Linked DNA regions of Arabidopsis thaliana. The protein of the gene in region 2 interacts with the protein of the main gene of each other region in a pairwise test. Each region holds a gene or a part of one and is shown on either strand. Other genes may lie near its edges.

Region 1 (9,880 bases), on a different chromosome or scaffold from region 2:
TCTTATGTATTTCCCCATTTTCCGTTAGCTTTTCATCAGAGAGAAAGAAAGAGAGATTGGGAGGTGTGAGAAAAATCGGAGTTAGGGTTGTGAAGATTAGTGCTCTTTGTGGGGTCTCTCTCTCTCTCTCTCTCTCTCTCTCTCTCTCTCTCTTTTTTTGTGTGTGTTATTTTTTTTTTCAGGTGGCTGCTTCTTCACTACTGTGAGTAATGTACTTTGCTATTTTTTCACTTTAGTTTTTAAAAAAAAAAAATATTTTAGAACTTGAGTGTAATAATTTCGATATTTATAAATAGAAATGATGACATATATTTTTATTTATAAATTTATTATTTTTTTCCACATTTATAAATTATATTTAAAATAAAAAAATTTGAGTTAGTTGGGTTCAAATATGTGTCACAGCGTTAGAAAAGATTGAACGGTTACACAACCTGAATTAATTCAAGGATCGTATTTTGCTCTACTTTTGTGTATTTTACTTACCTTAGGATAAAAAGTTTTAAATCTAGTTGAGGTAGAGATTGGACGAATTTGGAATGTCAACTTCTACTTCTCTACTAGGCTTATGATGTTTGACAATTTTATTTTTATTGTTTTCTGCGAATTGCTTGGATAATGTAGCATAAGATATTTAGCCTTTGTAATATTGAGAATATACTGATGAATCTAATGACTAGATTATATAAATTACAAGAGTTAGATGATTATGAAAGTTTAAGCAGTTTTGAGAATTGGGAAGGAGTAGGAGTATTTTATATCTTATAGTATTGTATAAAGGTTTGAGTAGGTATATATTATCGATTGAGAAACTAAAGATAACTTAAATTAATGATTCATTCAACCACTCAACTGTTACAAAAAATAAGTTCATGTTTAAGAAAAAAGTACATTTATTTTAGACCAAAAAAAAAAAAGTACATTTATTTTAGTTTTTCCAAGTTAGACGTGTTTGTAAATTGTAAACAAACACAAACGTAACCGTGCTTTTTACTTCTCCTTATGTTTCACATTTCCGTTTTCTATATATAATATCGAGTTTTTCTTTTTTTTTGAGTTGAAAGTTAAATTTATTCAAACCCAAAAAAACTATTTTTACAATAAATGTTACAGTGATGCTGAAACAAATAATTTTGAAAGAGAGGCAGAGTCATTCAAGAAAGATGCGGTTATATTAGAAGTTCAATAAGTAACCCAGAACAAAGACAATTTAAGCCTAAGCAGATAATAAACTCATCCTTAATCCTAAGTTTTAACGTACGAGTACTTTCAATGTGCATGCTTAGAGTTTTGTATTCATCTTAAACCAACTTAATGTATGCAGTGTCATTATAAGATATTCGTAAAGAGACCTTAAAAACAAGCGTTTGGCTGATTATAAGAAATTATTATTCAACAATGTAGTTGGTCTAGAGAAATTACTTACATCTCTCTTTCACTCTAAACACTAGAGATCAAAACAACGAAGTAAAGAAGTAGGATCATTAGACAAAGATTGGAAATATCACAAGTCTCTTTGCTTTTGACATAAACAAACCCAATTTAAAAAAAAAACCAACTTATTAATGTAACATTAAAAAAAAAAAAAAAATTAGACCCAAAAAAAGTCCTGAGCTCTCTGCTATTTCTTCTTTTTTCCTTTTCTTTTCAGACGAACATAGAAATATTTCTACTTCCAAATCTTTACGGATTTGTCATGACTTGCAGACGCAACCACTCCCGTCGAAGGCGACTGAGCCAAGGCAGAGATCACACACTCGTGGCCTGCTACCGTCATACATTTGTTCTCCATTGTGTTCCACAGCTCTATAGCCTGTCACAGATTCGTTTACCAAAGTTAAAACAACTGAGAGACACATTCACCTCATCACACATTTGAACATAAGACTAGATATTGTTTGACACATTATTTGTTTGAGAAATGGGGATATAGGTTATACCTGATAGCCACCGATGACCAAGAGATCGGGATAGCTAGGGTGAAAAACAACAGAGTGGAACTTGTTTCCACTGTTGCTAAGCTCGTGGATGCAATCTCCTGAACTCAGTGACCATAATTTTACAGCGTCTTCACTAACAGACGCCACCAACTCTCCGTTTGGGCTCCAACAAACAGAATGTACATTTGAGGAATGTCCCTGCCAGATCAAAAGTAAATAAAGCCATGAGTAACGATCAACACTTACGACATCTAAACATATGCCCCAATGCATCTAACAAGAAAAATGCACTGGACTTTGAAGATTCAAAGTATTAAAAGTAAAAAACAAAGCTTTTAGTCTTTTATGTGGATTGACCCGGGGAATTCAAAAATATCAATATATCATCTTCAGCTCTACCTTAAAAATGTTGACCCGTTTGTTATTATTTTCAATATCAAAAATTGACACAGTATTTTCTGACGCTGCAGCTAAAAACTGTCCTGTTCTTGGCTGGAAACGTACTTGCGTGCTAGCCCCCTGTGCTTGGAAAATTCAACGATTAGCAAACAGAGTTCACATCCCAGAGAAACCATACAAAAGGTCAGGGGCTTGCCTTTACAGCACGAACGCAAGAGGCGTTTATGTCCCAAAAGCGAATATCATTGTTGCTATCACAGGAGCATAAAAGCTCGGTTTTCTTAGGATGAAAATCAATGGACATAACAGGTGCAGCATGACCAGAAATTGTTCGTAGGAAGTAACCAGGCTGCACAAATTGGTAGTAGTTAGTCACAGCAGAACACGAAAAATTGCAACAAATAAAAGAGAAACAAATTAAATTAGTATACATCAGAAGCATCCCAGATTTTGATTGTTTTGTCGAATGATGACGTTGCCAGTTGAGTTGAATTCGGTCTGAAGCGAACATCTGTGATGATATGAGCATGTTCTTCCGGAGTGCTCTCAACTTGTAGTGTTTCCATGTTCCATATAAATACCTACTGACAAAAATAAATTTGCATCCACATTATCTGTTTTTAAACAAACAAAATGTTACCTACCTATAAATGATCTATAGCTGTTTTAGGGCCATGACAAGTTTATAAGCAAACCGTATCTCAGAAATTAAGAAGTTGCACCTTCTTATCATGTCCAGCGCTAGCCAACAACTTCCCATCATATGAGAAGCTACAGCAAATGACCTTACTGGCACTTTTTCTTATACAACTAACCTCATTGAAACTGAAAGCTGAAACGAGAAAAAGGACCGTGTTAGTATATATTTATATCGTCTACTTGTATCATACTTATCCTTGGGGTGTTAGAATACGCTTTGAGGTTTCGGTATGCACAGAAGAGTTCCGCTTTAGGGTGCCAAACAAGCTTCCTCCGTCTCCATCATCTTGGGACAAAAATGATTCTACATTATCTTCTAGAGCTCCCACATCTCCAAACTGGTCCATGTCATCCTGCAGCTATTAATTCTTGTCATAAGAAAGCTGAAAGAAACACGGCCCCATGGGATATAAAAAAAATATTCAAGCTGCTAAGAAAGCACTTGTTTCACACAACACAACTGCATGCTGTATCCAGATGTTATTGGAGGAAAACTAGATTGTCGTTATCATTCTTCTGAGAAATTAAGAAACATACCAGTTGATTTGCTGATGATGCAAGACCACCGATCCCATCAGAACCATACATCATTGGCCCTTTTGGCATGCTATTCACATGGTGCATGTTACCAGCTATAGCAACTCCATCAACAGGGGTATGCGTTGACGGAGTCGATGGCTGTGAGTTGGATGGGCCAACAGTGTTTCCTGTCCCTGTGCTGTTAGCAGGACCAGAAGAGGAAGGCCCTTTTCTTTTGCGGTTGTTCTATCAGATACACGAAAAGGAAGTTGTGGCTCAATCATCTCAGACACTAAAGAATATATTCAGTTGGTTAAAACCACATGCTTGATAAGACTTGAGGGATTGGATCCACATAAAAGTACCTGTTGTGATTGCTGGGATAGTAAGTGATCTTGTTGCTGAGAAGAAGATTGCTGTACTGGCGGCATGCTGATATGCTATAGACCAACAAGCAACGGAAAGAGAGAAAATCAGAAGAAAAAAATGTGATTGATAAAATTTTAGCAGTAAAGTCCCCATGTTTGGTAGTAATCAGCTACTAATTGCGGATAAGTTTTCTCTATTATTGGGTTCATGTGGTTAACAAGAAAAAACAAAATTCTGATACCTATGTAGATCTACATTAGGATAACACAAACACATTACCTTACACATTTTCCAAATGGAAAGTATAGCAGTCAGACGATAACCCAAAAGAGTACAATTTTAAAGCATAGACGAGCAATTATCAGAAAAAATGCATAGAAGGACAGACGTAATGATCCAATTACACCACTTAACGGAACACAGAAAAAATGAGATGCTTCATTTTTTCTCTGCTACCCGAAAAAGATGATATAATGCAGCTCAACAGATTCCACTGCATCCAACAGGGATATGCATTTATTGGTAATTTGAGAAAGTCTTACCTTTGACGAACTTGACTGCATGGGGGACCCTATAGATCCATCATTTGCATTTTGTTGGCCATCTTTCGGATTAAGGTTTCCTCTAGGTAATCCTGTAAATCTTCGAGGGTCCATGTCACCACCATACATGGGTGAATTAGTCATATTTCCTTGCGCTTGAACCTGAGCCAACATCTGATGTTGTTGCTGCTGCGGCGAGAGCTGAAATTGACTTTGATTTTGTAGAAAAGATTTCTGAACCTGAGGGCCTCCTAAACCTGGTCGCATCTGCTCGATGCCCTGTAACATTTGTCAAGAAACTTAGCAAAATACTGGGCTTGGAATGACAAACAAATAAATTCTTAGAAGAACCACAGAGACTTACAGTTAATGGCCATCCCTTTAAAGGAAGACCACTCACTCCAGGGTTTAATCCTTCACAAGGGACAAACACAACACCATAAGAATTTATACAAATTGTAAGCAAAAGATTCTCGTGATGCCATTAGCATATCACCCTATGTAATTCATCATGATTTTGCACATAACAGGGAAGTAATATTTAAATTTTGGAGTCCATAGTCAACTAATTGCCATAGAAGGCATACTACCACGTATTTTACCACCATTTTCTTTTCGGTGAGCGATTACTCTACAATGCAATACATTGATATATTTACCTGCACTCCCCATCCCAGGCTTTGATTGCAGAATTCCCTGGCCATAAACTGTAGAAGGATCCACTGGCAGTTGTCTTGGAGATGTACCCAAATTAACTTCAGTTTTGATTTCCTGCACGTACAAGAGATTCAGATGTACACCAAAATATCTGATTGGAGACTTGTCTGTTAGAAAATTTGAACAGTATAAAGTAAGGTGCTCGAGTAGTAGTTACAGTGGGCTGCTGAGTTCGTGATTGAATTTGCTGCAGCGCTGCCGAAACACCTCCTTGATGGTTTCCTTGGACAATCTGACTGTTTAGGGACAGAAAAAAAAAGAAAGGACAACAAGGGGTCAGAGGTATGAGGACTAGAAAAACGACAGCAAAAAAGAAGCTGAGCCAATTTACCCATGATGGTTTGTTGCTGATTTAAGAAGGGCCATCCTTGCATCAAGATGAGGTTGGGATGTCTCAGAATTCATAGGATTAGGCTGCTTCATGCGTTCCTCGTACATTTTAGCAGCCAAAGCACTAGCATTAGACTGCCCAATCATCCCTTCAGAACCAATAGCATTCATTGGACCGCCAAGAGAAGGATGATTAGGGTCCCTACGCTGCATTTGAGCTTGGCGCATCATCTGCAGTTGCTGTATTTGCATTTGCTGCTCCTTCGCTTTACCTTGTTGTGCCTAAAATTTCAAAACCACTGGTCAGTTACGTAATTCAAAACTAACAAAACATATTCCCAGATGTTAGTAGAAGACATTCACCTCTATATAAGCTGCAGCAGCCTCTGAATGCTTCTCATTCGTCCTTGCAATGAAAATGTCCCAAAACACAGACCACCACTCAAAAAGAAACCCTCCAGGTGCATCAATTGCTAATCATTCACACAACAAAAAACAATTACATATCAAAACTTAAAATTAAGAAAGAACAAAGTGGAACAAAGAAAGTGTAATATTACCAACTGGATCAGGAGAAACCTTCCCTTCAGTCATAAACGACTTAGCAGTATTATGAAGTTTCTTCTTCACCAAATAATCATATATGTAAACATCAAGCCTACAAAAACACAAAGATATCAAAGTAAGGAATTGAAAAAAAATAAGCTTTTATTGAATACAAAATTAACTTACATCTTGTCAGCTTCCCAATTACTCTGAGCCATAGCTTCAGCCCAAGATCGAGCTGCTATAAAAGGAATTCAAATCTTCAATCCAAAGAAATGATATGAACTCAGAATAATTCGATTGTTTTAATAAACAGACACTAACCTGAATAAAAGCCCAAACAAATAAATATCAAGTAGATCAGAACCCTAATTCGATCTTCAGATATCAGTAAATTTAAAGATCAAGCATTGCTGCTACACATACAGAGAAAATATAAAGAAATCGACAAGGTTAAATTGCTTATACGCGAACATGACTTTTGGAATTCGTTGAATTGATATAGAAAGTAATCGAATTCACATACCTGACGGATCACAATTGAAAAGGAAAAAAAAGAATCTAGGGTTCTTGAGAGATTACAGTGAATTGTAATCAGCTGTAAGTTAAGAGTAAATCGATCATGAAACAGCTGGAAGAGAGAGATAGATCAGATTGATGAGTTTGGAGAGATCATCGGATGTTTGGTTTGATGCTTAGCTTTAGGATTCGATGAAAAAGTTTATTCATGGGCTTCGATATTTGGACCTAGTTATGGGCTTACTTTTGGGCCTGTGATTGACTTTTAATCTAAAGTCAACTCGAAGGTAGGCCGAAATTTCTCTTGAATCGTTAGAGCAGCCAATTCATGGTTTCTAAACAGAGTGAAAAAATTTATTATAAAAAAAAGTGTAGGTTTTTTTATTAGTAAAGAAATTATTTTCAAAGTACGCAATGCTATGTCAAGATAAATGGTTCATACTTCATGTAGCTACACTCAATAATACATTGGAAAAAATGTCAAAAAAATTGCCAACTTTGAAAAATGGGATGAAAAATCACCAACTCCTGAAATGTCGTTTTAATCACATACTTTTGATTGAGTTCTTTAGAAAGATAACAGAGCAAAGTTTTGTTGATTACGAATCTTTGCTTTATTATCTTTCTGGAAAAGTCAACCAAAAGTATATGATTTAAATGACATTTCAGGAGTTGGCGATTTTTTTGTCCCATTTTTAAAAGTTGGCGATTTTTTTAACATTTTTCCCATAATACATTCATTATTCTACCGTATTTAATCTTCTAGTTATAGCTTACGAATGGTTCAAAATGAAAACTTGCGTCAAATACTAGTTCTTTCTTTTTGGGCAAACTCGTGAAATATGTTTGTATTTTGAGGGTGAGATTTGACCTTATAAACTGATCACTGCATATGTTTTATGAAACTAATTCAAATTCTAAATAGAAAATAAGAACTAATTAAAATCCTTTAACTAGAGGTCTGTAACCAAAAGATTGCATGCATATTCTCAATAGAACCAATCTAATTTTTTTACAAAAAAAAAATGCATAGGATATTCATTTGGCACTTAATTTGAAGTTTTAGTACTTTATGATGTGAAATGAACAATCCACACTTGTAGTGTTATGAAGTATTAAACGTATTTCTTAAATTTCTTACTAACAAGTTAGCCCTAGATTAACTAGTTAAATATTCTTGTTAAGCCTCGTTTTTTTTTCAAATCACTAGTTGACTTTAAAATTTAAGTCCCAACCATTATTCTAACAACAAACAGTCCAAATTAAATAAAAGATTACATTCACAGCTCAAACCAGTCAACCTCAAATTTTTAATAATCTAAATCTATGTGGGTGATGCATGTATAATGTATAAGCCTATCTGTTTTTCTTTATTTGTTAGTTTGGAAAATGAAAGGTTTAATATGTGTTTGGTTTGAGCCATTAATGACATAATAAATGAGATCACTTTTTTTTCACTAAATGAGATCACATTTAGGGCTTGAATAATGCAAAAGAGCCCTCATATTATTAATGGCTTTGTAGTAGACATGTCCTTCAACTATAAAAGGAAAAATAAAACAGCCACGATTATAAACTTTTGTTTTTTTGATAACGACACAATTTATTCATTTATGGTACGTCTTTTATGAAAATACACTAAAAGAGAAACACACTGTTCTTTTTGCTATAAATCCATGGAAGGTTGATTTATGAGGAATCATATACATATGGTGAACTGATGATTGCATTCTACGAATATGATCAGTCTGGTTTTTAGAACATGAACCAATTATTATTATTTGACAAAGTACATGAACCAATTGTAGTATATATTTTCATCAATTTCAGGTTTTTTCACCATCGGCGCCCACTAGAATCGTTTGCTCATTTTCTTAATCGGAAATAAGATATACATTTCATTTCATGTGCATATATATATACATCGATATTATTTATTTATTGAATTCATCAAATGTACATTGATTTCATTTTTATTGTTATGTTGGATGAGATCAACTGGGCAGTTGGCAGACATAAATAAATTGTCCTATGACAGGTGAACCTCATTTAATTTAGTTTACTCAACCAATTTATTTTTTTCGCCTTCTTACAAGTTAATACGTCCGGTTTAATCAATTCCGGTTTCCCACTTTTCCTCACGGTTACGCCTTAACCAAGCATTTCAACCTCTGAAATAGAATAATTTGAGTATATATGAACAAATCAACAAACTAAACTAAACCGGAATTGATAAGAAACCTAGAAAAAGAAGAAGCAAAACCGGTTATGTATGTAACGTACTCACGAGTGGACGATATGTCTATATATAGAGGTCAAGACTAAGCTTCACTGACACAACTACTGTCTTCGATCTCTCTTTCATATACACCATATAAAACGAACCAGTTAATTATGGGTTTAATTTCCGGGAAGGTGTGTGTGTTTATCTTTGTATTCGCTCTAGTCGCTGAATTTTCGTTCGGAAATGTTGAGGTTAACGACGACAAACACTTTTTCCACAAACCTCGTCCATTTTTACACAAACCTCGTCCATTCCTCCACAAGCATGGCATTTACAAGAAAGGTTTCGGTAAGGGTTTGGGCGGTGGAGGCGGTCTAGGCGGCGGAGGTGGTCTAGGAGGCGGTGGTGGCCTAGGAGGCGGTGGAGGTTTAGGCGGTGGTGGAGGTTTAGGCGGCGGTGGTGGTCTAGGAGGCGGTAGCGGTTTGGGAGGAGGAGGGGGTCTAGGAGGCGGTAGCGGTTTGGGAGGAGGAGGGGGTCTAGGAGGTGGTGGTGGTGGTGGTTTAGGAGGAGGAGGTGGATTGGGTGGTGGAGCTGGAGGAGGATACGGTGGTGGTGCTGGAGGAGGACTTGGAGGCGGAGGTGGAATTGGAGGAGGAGGAGGCTTTGGCGGTGGAGGGGGAGGAGGATTCGGGGGCGGAGCCGGTGGTGGATTTGGTAAAGGCATTGGTGGTGGAGGAGGTCTTGGAGGAGGTTATGTTGGTGGTGGCCATCACTGATGAGTGGTGAGGCTCATGCTCATGCATTCGTAACGTTGTTATATTATTTAATTAAATGGAAAATGATAAATTAATTATTGCAATAAAATGATACATTAGCAATTGTGTATGTCGTTATTTTTATTTTGAGTCGCATTGTATGCTGATTCCATATGTTCGGCTTTGGTCGGTTTCAAGTGTGGTTAATAAAATGGTTATTTTACTTTTGCCAACAGTTATTGAGTGGTTGTGTTTATGTTTTATATACATGTTCACTCATCTTTCCATATGATCTTACAACACTTGCTAAAATGAATTCGG
Region 2 (8,408 bases):
TAAATACTATCCTCCTCAAGTCGTATTCAGCAACAAGCACTAGAGGGGTCAGGTGCAATTTTTAGACTTTCTAGCTTTTAAACAAACATTGTTAGCTTGGCAACAATGAAAACTAACATGATTTTCCATGCATATTAAACAAGTCACTAATCTAATTTATTTCTGATGTCTAGACTTACGTACGTACATGTTTAAGAATAATTTGGTTTCAGACCGGGAATGTTTTATTCTCATAATTATCAAAGCTTTTTATTATACTAGTAGTATCTAAATTTCTAAGCAAAACTACTAGAACTTTATTATAGTAAAGCAGAAGTTAGAAGAAAAAACATAAGACTGGAATATTTCTCATTATTCTTTATTTTCCCGTTTTCCTTGATCATCTTGGAATTGACTCGTAGCTTAACTAAGCATTTATACCTGCACAACCCAAAAACAAAACAAACAAAAAAACAAAAAAACCTCAGAAACAGATATGAAATAGAGGTCTATATATCATTAAATAAACACATTACTACATTAGCCGAGTTAGCTAGAGCTGATATATGAGGTTTTATCCTACTTAATCTACTTGGAATCTTAGGCCAAGTCTTTTTGGTTTGGCCATATATTAGGCCAAGTCTAAAATGTTGGTAACTAAAACTAAATATATATTGAGATTTGTTTTATTCATCCTCATCTTGGGATAACGAGCCAAATATCAAACTTCTTGGTTAAAAGTAAATAAATCCGTACCACAATCCACAGGAGGAAGGTTACAAAGCGAAGGAAGAGAGGTGGCTGCACGGAGAGCGTTGCATAGACAATCTCTATTAGTAGATTGAAGTGCGGCGCAACACTCTGAATTTGGTCTGCCTGAACCGGGCAGCACCATGGCGGCGCATACCTGCACATTTGCTAGATCGTTGCCACATTCTTGGGCTTGAACTACCGTTTCTATAGCAGTCATGGCAAGAAAAAGGACACTGAGAACGGCTGCGAAAGACTTGAACGATGCCATTATTGCCATGGATAAGTTTGTTTCTATAGATATCTGATGTAGTTCTATGTATATGATATCATATGTTTAGATTTATCATTTATATAATGTTTTGAGTGTATATTTTGAGTGATTAATTAGATGAGTTGAGGAGACGTTTGGCATGGTCACATGGTCTAGTTAGTTCACAAGATTTACATGTGAAAGTAAATCACTCTGTTCTCTATCCACCACGCTGAGTGCAAGGTTTTTTTATTTATTTATTTTATTCTTTAGTGCAAAGCAAAAATATTTCATATACAAAATTATGTAATATATGAAATTAACTATGGTAAAAGGAGTTGACAAATTATCTCTTGTAGATAGTAGGATGGTTGGTATATTGAAGATGAAAAGTATTACTGTATTAGTGCAAGTAGATGAAGATTACATATCCGTATTTGTGGAATTTTGTATGATTTAAAATCACGTCACAAATACATTTTATTAAAATTTCAGAGAAAAAAATAGCATGTGTCTGGCTTGTTTGTGACGTGTTACCGATGTTTGTAACTGTATCAGCTTTAAATAAACGAGGCTTAAAAAAAGTCATAAGAAAAAAGGTAAAATATTGATTGATAGCGATGAGTTCCTGAAGAACAGTCTTTTTTCTTTTCCAGAATTAGTAACACTTTCCAGAAAAACCTCTTCATAAAAAGAGAAGCTTTAATCTAAGAAGAAGAAAGAACAACAACACAGTAGACACGTTAACATTGAATCCCCCTCATCAGATTCATATACCTAAGAAAGTTAGTCTTTAGTAACTCGTTCTTTACAAAGACAACATTGGAGCTAACTATCAAAATGCCTCTCATGACTTCCAAGAATATCCTCCCATGCTTTCATCAACCTCATTGCTAAAAACCCCGTTATTCCCAAAGTTGAGCGATGTATTAGAGATAATACCTTCCAGGTTTTGGCTTTGGTCTAACCCCTTGATGCCTCTGAATCTGTTGGAGGTGCTTGGTGTTTCAGCTGCTGCGGGAACATAATCTGTTCTGTTTCTTCCCATGTTGGTATTGCAATTCATCATGTTCTGACCAGAAAGTGACTGTTGTTGTTGACCGGAGCCTCCATTGCTGTTTGCCATCTGTTGCCATATTTGATGAATCATTTGTTGTTCCAATGTTTGGTTACCGCTACTACAGGAAGGTGGCTGTTGGTGGTATTGCTGGGTTGAGCCATTATAACTGGAGCTTGGCATTTGCCGCTGAGGAGATAGATGGGAAGATACACCACTTATTGATGGGCTATGCACAAAACCAGGTAACAAGGGACTAGTTCCTTGATAGCTCGGGGATGCACTCCGGTTTCTTGATGGTTCTTGCTGGATTGTGGTGTTGTTTAGGTCTGAATTCAGATGGTTTTGTTTCATGAGCATGCTCTGGTAGTTGGTAAGCGCAAAAGCGGCAGCTTGTGCAGAGCCGGGAAGAGATCCTTGACCGCTCATGTTGTTCATTGGTATGTTTATCCCGGAATTGCGCAAGGCCATTAGCTTGTTGAGACTGTTCCTATCAGGTGGAAGCCCTCGGGCAGCCGCTAGTTGCTCCATCTCCTGCATCTGAGGTTTACCAGCCTTCATTCGATATGGATAGCTCTTCAAAGCCTCTGCAAATGTTAAAAGGTAGCAAGAAAGCTTTTTATAAGCACAGCCAAGTAAAAAAAAAGCGTTTTGATGAATCTCAGGGACTCTCTGGGATTTATGTATTAACTTACCGATTGGACCCACTTTTTGGTCACGGCAAAAGTCAATCATATCTTTCATGCTGCTGACAACCTCAGAAATCTGTTTAAAGAAGATGGCAAGAGTTAAACAGTAAAAAGGAGACACGCCACCAGGAAAATGCAAGAAAGTAGGCAGAGAGATACCTGCAGACACCGAACATATCGTTTTGAGAAGCCTAAGTCATTGAGTGAATGTGACTCCAAGCTTTTTGCTAGTTGACGTCCAGCAGCCATGACCCTGGAGCAAAAGACTTGGCATCAGTACATCATATTTGTATATATTAAGCTAAAATCGCTTTGATCTTCTTTGCATCAGTGAAAAATCTTACCTAATTACCGTACAAGATGCAAGAAACAATGAAATTGAATTGATTGAGAAATATGGAAGAAAGAGAGTGAAATATTGTCTAGAATCATCAAGACTCACATGTTGCTATTAGCTTGCAAATCTTGTTGATGAATCCCATCTGATCCACTTTGATCAATTGTGCTCTGACATTTCTCTGCAACCTGAAGCAATTGGTTCACCTGCACGACCATAGGGAGCAGACATTCAAAAAATCTCAAGACCAGGGATTTCAAAAAGAGTCACAAAGATTGTAAGAACCATTAATGTTACCTGTGGAGCTACTAGGCGACGAGGAAGTAGTTCTTCATGTCGACGAGTACAGAACTCCCATGAGAGAATCTGGCAAAAGGAAAAAGGATAAGCTAAGTTACTTTAATACACATTAATGATTAAAAGTATTTGGAATCAAAAGCTCTTTAAACCACCTTCAGCTCTTGGGAGAATATAATCCGAAGATGGCCTTCGCGAACAACACGGATATGTTCGTACACACTCTCCTGAACTGCTTTTCCATACTCTAACACCATAATTCCAGATCCATATCTGCGTTCAGACGGTACACCCAGATAAAGAAGCTCGTCCAGGACACCACTTGCGAATTTGATTTCGTTAAGCCTTGGCAAGACATCAAAAGTTGCTTCTGCAGAATCCATAAGAAAAAGTTACTAAGAGAAGATGTTTTGCTACCATAAACATTTTTGAAATTTCCCTCTTCTTCATCAGGGTATAAGCAAATTGGAACTTACCAAATCCTCTTCCCGATTTAGAACCACATAGATCACACTGCCATTCATCCTGCAAATGGAAAATACAAAAAGCAAGAATAAGTAACCTATTTGTAACTACACCGTAAGATCAGCATAAAGAGTATGAAACCAAAAAAAACAAAGAGTCAGGGAAACAAACCGTGGCTGCCTGAGGAGAAACACCAAGTGCACTATGCCCCACATTATCATAATGAGAAAGACACCATCTTTTCTTTGCCCGGGGAGAAAAATACTCCGTCACAAATTTCCTCCAGTAAACAATACTGCTCTCCTACAAAATCAGCAATGACACGACTGGTATCTGTCAAGAGCTTTTTTCTAGAATACACATAAAACAAAAAATTTGACGACTACATGCACACTCACAGAAGGCCTTTGTCGCTGATGATATAGGTACTGCATCAATCTTCGAGCGCAAACGCTATTTTCATAAGGTCTTGGCCCACCGGTTAGTTGCATTTGCATTCCTTGTTGTTGCAACTGTTGCTGTTGCTGTTGGTGCTGCTGCTGCAACTGTTGCTGTTGCTGCACTTGTTGCTGCTGCTGCAGTTGAACCCGTTGCAATGGTGGGAGGGACTGGAGATATTGTTGCTGTTGCCTCAGCTTTTGTTGCTGAAGCAAGATTTGGAACTGTGGATTTTGGCCTTGTTGTTGTTGTTGCTGCTGCTGCTGCAATATATCCTGTCTCTGAAGCCACTGACGTAAAATCTGCTGCTGCAAAGCATCATCCTGCTTTGAATCTAATCTAGGTTTTTTCCGTGCTTGAGTTAAGTTGTTTGGATCCTGAAAGAACGATTCAGAAGCACGCCGAGCCATAGAAAGCGGGATTTGATTAGTTTGTGATGTAGGCAGTGATGTAGCACTAGAGCCACCTAGCTGAACACTAGGATCATGCCGTTGTACCACAGTCGACCCATCTACAACTGATGAACCAGATATGCTGATATTATTAGAAGAGAACGACATAGGAGACGCCGGTAAACGCATATATGACTCATTATTGATACTAGCACTACGCTGCAAATGAGGACCACCTCCAGAGAGCCCTGAATTAGCATCTGTGACAAGCGAACTAGCTCCTGCGCTTGGACCGGGTGTTGAAACACTCATCATAACCGGATTATGCATATCACCAGAAACCATACTGAGATTGTGATAGCCACCAGTAGGTCCACCACATCCAGGAGCAGAGTTAGATGAATTCCCATAAGAGGAAGTCAAGTGAGAGTTAATGAAGCTTTGAGATTCATCATCTCCTTGAAAGAAAATCCCAGAAGTTGAAGAAGCCATTAAAGGGTAGGTCCCAAGTGAGTCTGAAATCCAAAGTTTCTTCCTCAATGCGACACAAATGTCCCACCTTTACTACTGATACCTACAACATTATACATGTATCGATTAAAATCAGATCAATAACATTCCCTAACACATGAATCTGGTGCGTTATTAAAGATACACAGACATTGAACTTAACCACTGAAATAAAAAAAAAACCAAATCAAAACCCTAATTTTAAAGTTCGTTACTTAACATAACTAACCGAGAAACTAACCAATCCCCAAAAAAAAAAAAAATAGATAGCAATCCCTTAAAAATCTCGGAGTTAGATATTTAAAAAGCAACCGAAATTAAATTACAAAATAAAAAAGCGAAGAACACGGAAACAACGTACGAAGAACTGTTAAGTGGAGCTTCGATCAATATAGAACAAAAGCTGAGAGATCACAACTAGAAATTAAAACTAAACCCAGCTGAATTGAAACAGAAGAAGAGGAAGATAATTAATGAGACAAGAAGAAGAAGAAGAAGAAGGAAAAAAATTTGCCTGGAAATTTCAAGCTGTAATATAAAGTTAAAATAAACAATCTTCTTATTTATTTTGTGTTTGTTGTTTTTGCATAAAAAAAAGGAAAATCCTGGAGAGAGCTGGAACTAGGCAATGAACTTGACGCGCCTTTGTTAATATACCTAGAGGAAATCGTAAGAACCAAATCTGACCGGACAAGCCGGTGACCCATCTGCTTATGGTTTTGCAAGTACTTTTTATTACCCGCTAGTCAATACTGACACGTGTCTTGTTTATCGTAACAAGTATCGTATGACCGATTGGTAACCTTTAGCTGTTTTGATTGCGTGGCATATTCTTGACCTTGCGATCAATAAAGTTAAATCAATTGTGGATCGTTCGATTGAGAGCATGGATCGTGTGCGACGCGTGTAGTTTAAAGTTGATTGACCAAATTATGTTTTTTATTTTATTTTTTTGTAATAACTGTACCAATGATTGCAGCTGTAAATGAGTGGGCTTACGACAAATATCCTCTTTTTTGCATGATTACTTATTGACCCCAATATTACTCCCTTTGACAATTCAACCCCTAAAATATTTCGACAAGATCATCCAACTATATGGAGCTACGACCCAACAGGCCTATTTCAGTATTTTTAGGCCCATTATTAGCCCATAAATAATTATACTCTGTTCTCCAACCGTTCAAAGCTCTGTTCTCGAACAGTCTTGAGGTCAAACCTAACCGGTGTCTCTGTCTCTAAAGCACTAGCTTGTTCAAGAAATGATCAAAGAAAGCTCGTGTGTGGTCCGTACGGTCCATGGATCATTCAAAACTTGGCAAGAAGACACACAACACCGACGATAATTCTAGACAATGTGGATCTGCAAGAAAGAGAGATTTTTAAGTTGCAGAGTTTGTCGGAGTTAAAGGCGTGACGTGTAACACAAGTTTCTGTTTCAGTTATTTCATTAGCTTACCTGTACTTAGAAACGTAGAACACGACTTATAAAATACAGAAGAACGATGACAAATAAATATAAATGTAACAACGACATTAATATATCGTCATTATTTATCAGAAATAGAAATAAATATGTGGGGGATACAACATTTATATTAAATATATGTATCTGTGATGGACTGATAATGAGACATAACAACAATCACATTAGCTGTCACTCTTTTCTTTAACTTTTTTTTCTCATTGTATAAAATTTTATAAAACAATAATCTGCTTTATATGATTCTTATCTTTCTTCTTCTTCCACGAGTTCTGTCCAGAAACAGAAACATTAATTTATTACAAAACAAAGTGTATTTACTTCTCTTTGCTCAGACGTTTCTTTTTTCTTCTTCTTCTTCTTGATCTTTTTCAGAAATCAACTTCATCTCATCATTCCTCTGTTTTTTTCTCTCTATCTCTCTTAATAAAGAAAATGATGAAAATGAGTATCGGAACAACAACTTCCGGCGACGGTGAAATGGAGCTCCGACCTGGAGGAATGGTTGTACAGAAAAGGACGGATCATAGCTCAAGCGTGCCACGTGGCATTCGGGTTCGGGTCAAATACGGGTCGGTCCATCACGAGATCAGTATCAACTCTCAATCTACTTTCGGTAAACGACACAAAACATTCCGAGTTATACAGTATTTCCTTTATACTATTAGTATGCTCTGTTTTTGGAATTTGATTGTTGTTGTTGTTGAATTTAACAACAGGGGAATTAAAGAAGATATTGTCTGGTGCGACAGGAGTTCATCATCAAGACATGCAGATTATATACAAAGACAAAGAAAGAGACTCAAAGATGTTTCTTGATCTTTCTGGTGTCAAAGATCGTTCGAAACTTATTCTTATAGAAGATCCCATTTCTCAGGAGAAACGTCTCCTTGAGTTGAGGAAAATCGCCACCAAAGAGAAATCATCTAAAGCAATCTCTGATATTAGTTTCCAAGTCGAAAGACTCGCCGGACAAGTAACTTAAGAAACATAATTTTAAATTTTCCGGATAACAACGCTCTTGTCTCGTAACTTGAATCAGAATTGTTTTTTTTGGTTTTTGGACTTTAGCTGTCGGCGTTTGATACAGTGATTGGTAAAGGAGGGAAAGTTGAAGAGAAGAATCTTGAGAATTTGATGGAGATGTTGATGAATCAATTGGTCAAGCTCGATGCCATCTCAGGTGATGGAGACGTTAAATTGAAGAAGAAGATGCAGGTACTTAAATCATGTTTTATTACTCACTGTTACTAATCTAATTCTTCATTTTACTTAGAATTCTAGATGACACAACTCTATTAATTTTTATTCATAAATTTGCAGAATTATGGAACCATTCTATAAGTAATTACCAATCATACCCATAAAGTCTTGTTATTCAAGTTTTTGAAGTCGCTTTGACAATTATTATTTTTTATGTATAGTTAGAATCTAATGATTCGATTTACAAATTGTTGGAAGGAGGAAAGATTACACAAGTATGTTGAGGCTCTCGACTTGTTGAAGATCAAGAACTCAAGGCAACCGCAAACGAAACCAAAGCCGCAATACAAGGAACGGGAAATGCTGACATTTTACGAGGAGGCGTCAAGGAAACCGACGGCCTCCTCATCAAGTCCTCCGGTGATCATAACAACAAGATGGGAAACGTTTGATTCTAGTTCAGCCTCCACGGCAACCCTACAACCCGTTAGACCGGTTCACCCAAAATTTAAATGGGAATTATTCAATTAATATCTAGATATTAATTACACGATA

Evidence for each region.
Region 1: the proteins of SLK2 (region 2) and LUH interact in a two-hybrid assay, tested with the Arabidopsis thaliana proteins (one study listed by BioGRID).

The regions. Positions count from the first base shown.
Region 1 is NC_003071.7:13,863,634-13,873,513, reverse strand, and holds LUH (LEUNIG-like protein), read right to left. Parts: upstream 6,743-9,880; 5' UTR 6,588-6,742; exon of another isoform or gene 6,475-6,587; 5' UTR 6,386-6,474; intron 6,303-6,385; 5' UTR 6,280-6,302; coding exon 6,248-6,279; intron 6,174-6,247; coding exon 6,076-6,173; intron 5,989-6,075; coding exon 5,879-5,988; intron 5,798-5,878; coding exon 5,517-5,797; intron 5,422-5,516; coding exon 5,343-5,421; intron 5,240-5,342; coding exon 5,071-5,239; intron 4,883-5,070; coding exon 4,833-4,882; intron 4,748-4,832; coding exon 4,469-4,747; intron 3,998-4,468; coding exon 3,923-3,997; intron 3,804-3,922; coding exon 3,576-3,803; intron 3,398-3,575; coding exon 3,253-3,397; intron 3,172-3,252; coding exon 3,062-3,171; intron 2,921-3,061; coding exon 2,771-2,920; intron 2,689-2,770; coding exon 2,536-2,688; intron 2,460-2,535; coding exon 2,340-2,459; intron 2,139-2,339; coding exon 1,941-2,138; intron 1,814-1,940; coding exon 1,670-1,813; 3' UTR 1,357-1,669; and 1 more. Other genes in the region: AT2G32710 (Cyclin-dependent kinase inhibitor family protein), read right to left, coding at 1-18; GRP23 (glycine-rich protein 23), read left to right, coding at 8,975-9,580. UniProt on the Arabidopsis thaliana protein: Transcription repressor subunit of the SEU-SLK1 and SEU-SLK2 transcriptional corepressor of abiotic stress (e.g. salt and osmotic stress) response genes, by means of an epigenetic process involving histone modification (e.g.
Region 2 is NC_003076.8:24,933,392-24,941,799, forward strand, and holds SLK2 (SEUSS-like 2), read right to left. Parts: upstream 5,849-8,408; 5' UTR 5,529-5,848; exon of another isoform or gene 5,232-5,528; 5' UTR 5,150-5,231; coding exon 4,226-5,149; intron 4,131-4,225; coding exon 3,999-4,130; intron 3,888-3,998; coding exon 3,839-3,887; intron 3,733-3,838; coding exon 3,518-3,732; intron 3,432-3,517; coding exon 3,363-3,431; intron 3,272-3,362; coding exon 3,171-3,271; intron 2,982-3,170; coding exon 2,888-2,981; intron 2,805-2,887; coding exon 2,735-2,804; intron 2,627-2,734; coding exon 1,830-2,626; 3' UTR 1,571-1,829; downstream 1-1,570. Other genes in the region: AT5G62080 (Bifunctional inhibitor/lipid-transfer protein/seed storage 2S albumin superfamily protein), read right to left, coding at 407-420, 736-1,009; BAG2 (BCL-2-associated athanogene 2), read left to right, coding at 7,086-7,266, 7,370-7,626, 7,722-7,868, 8,079-8,384. UniProt on the Arabidopsis thaliana protein: Probable transcription regulator that functions in the development of the carpel margin meristem similarly to SEUSS (SEU).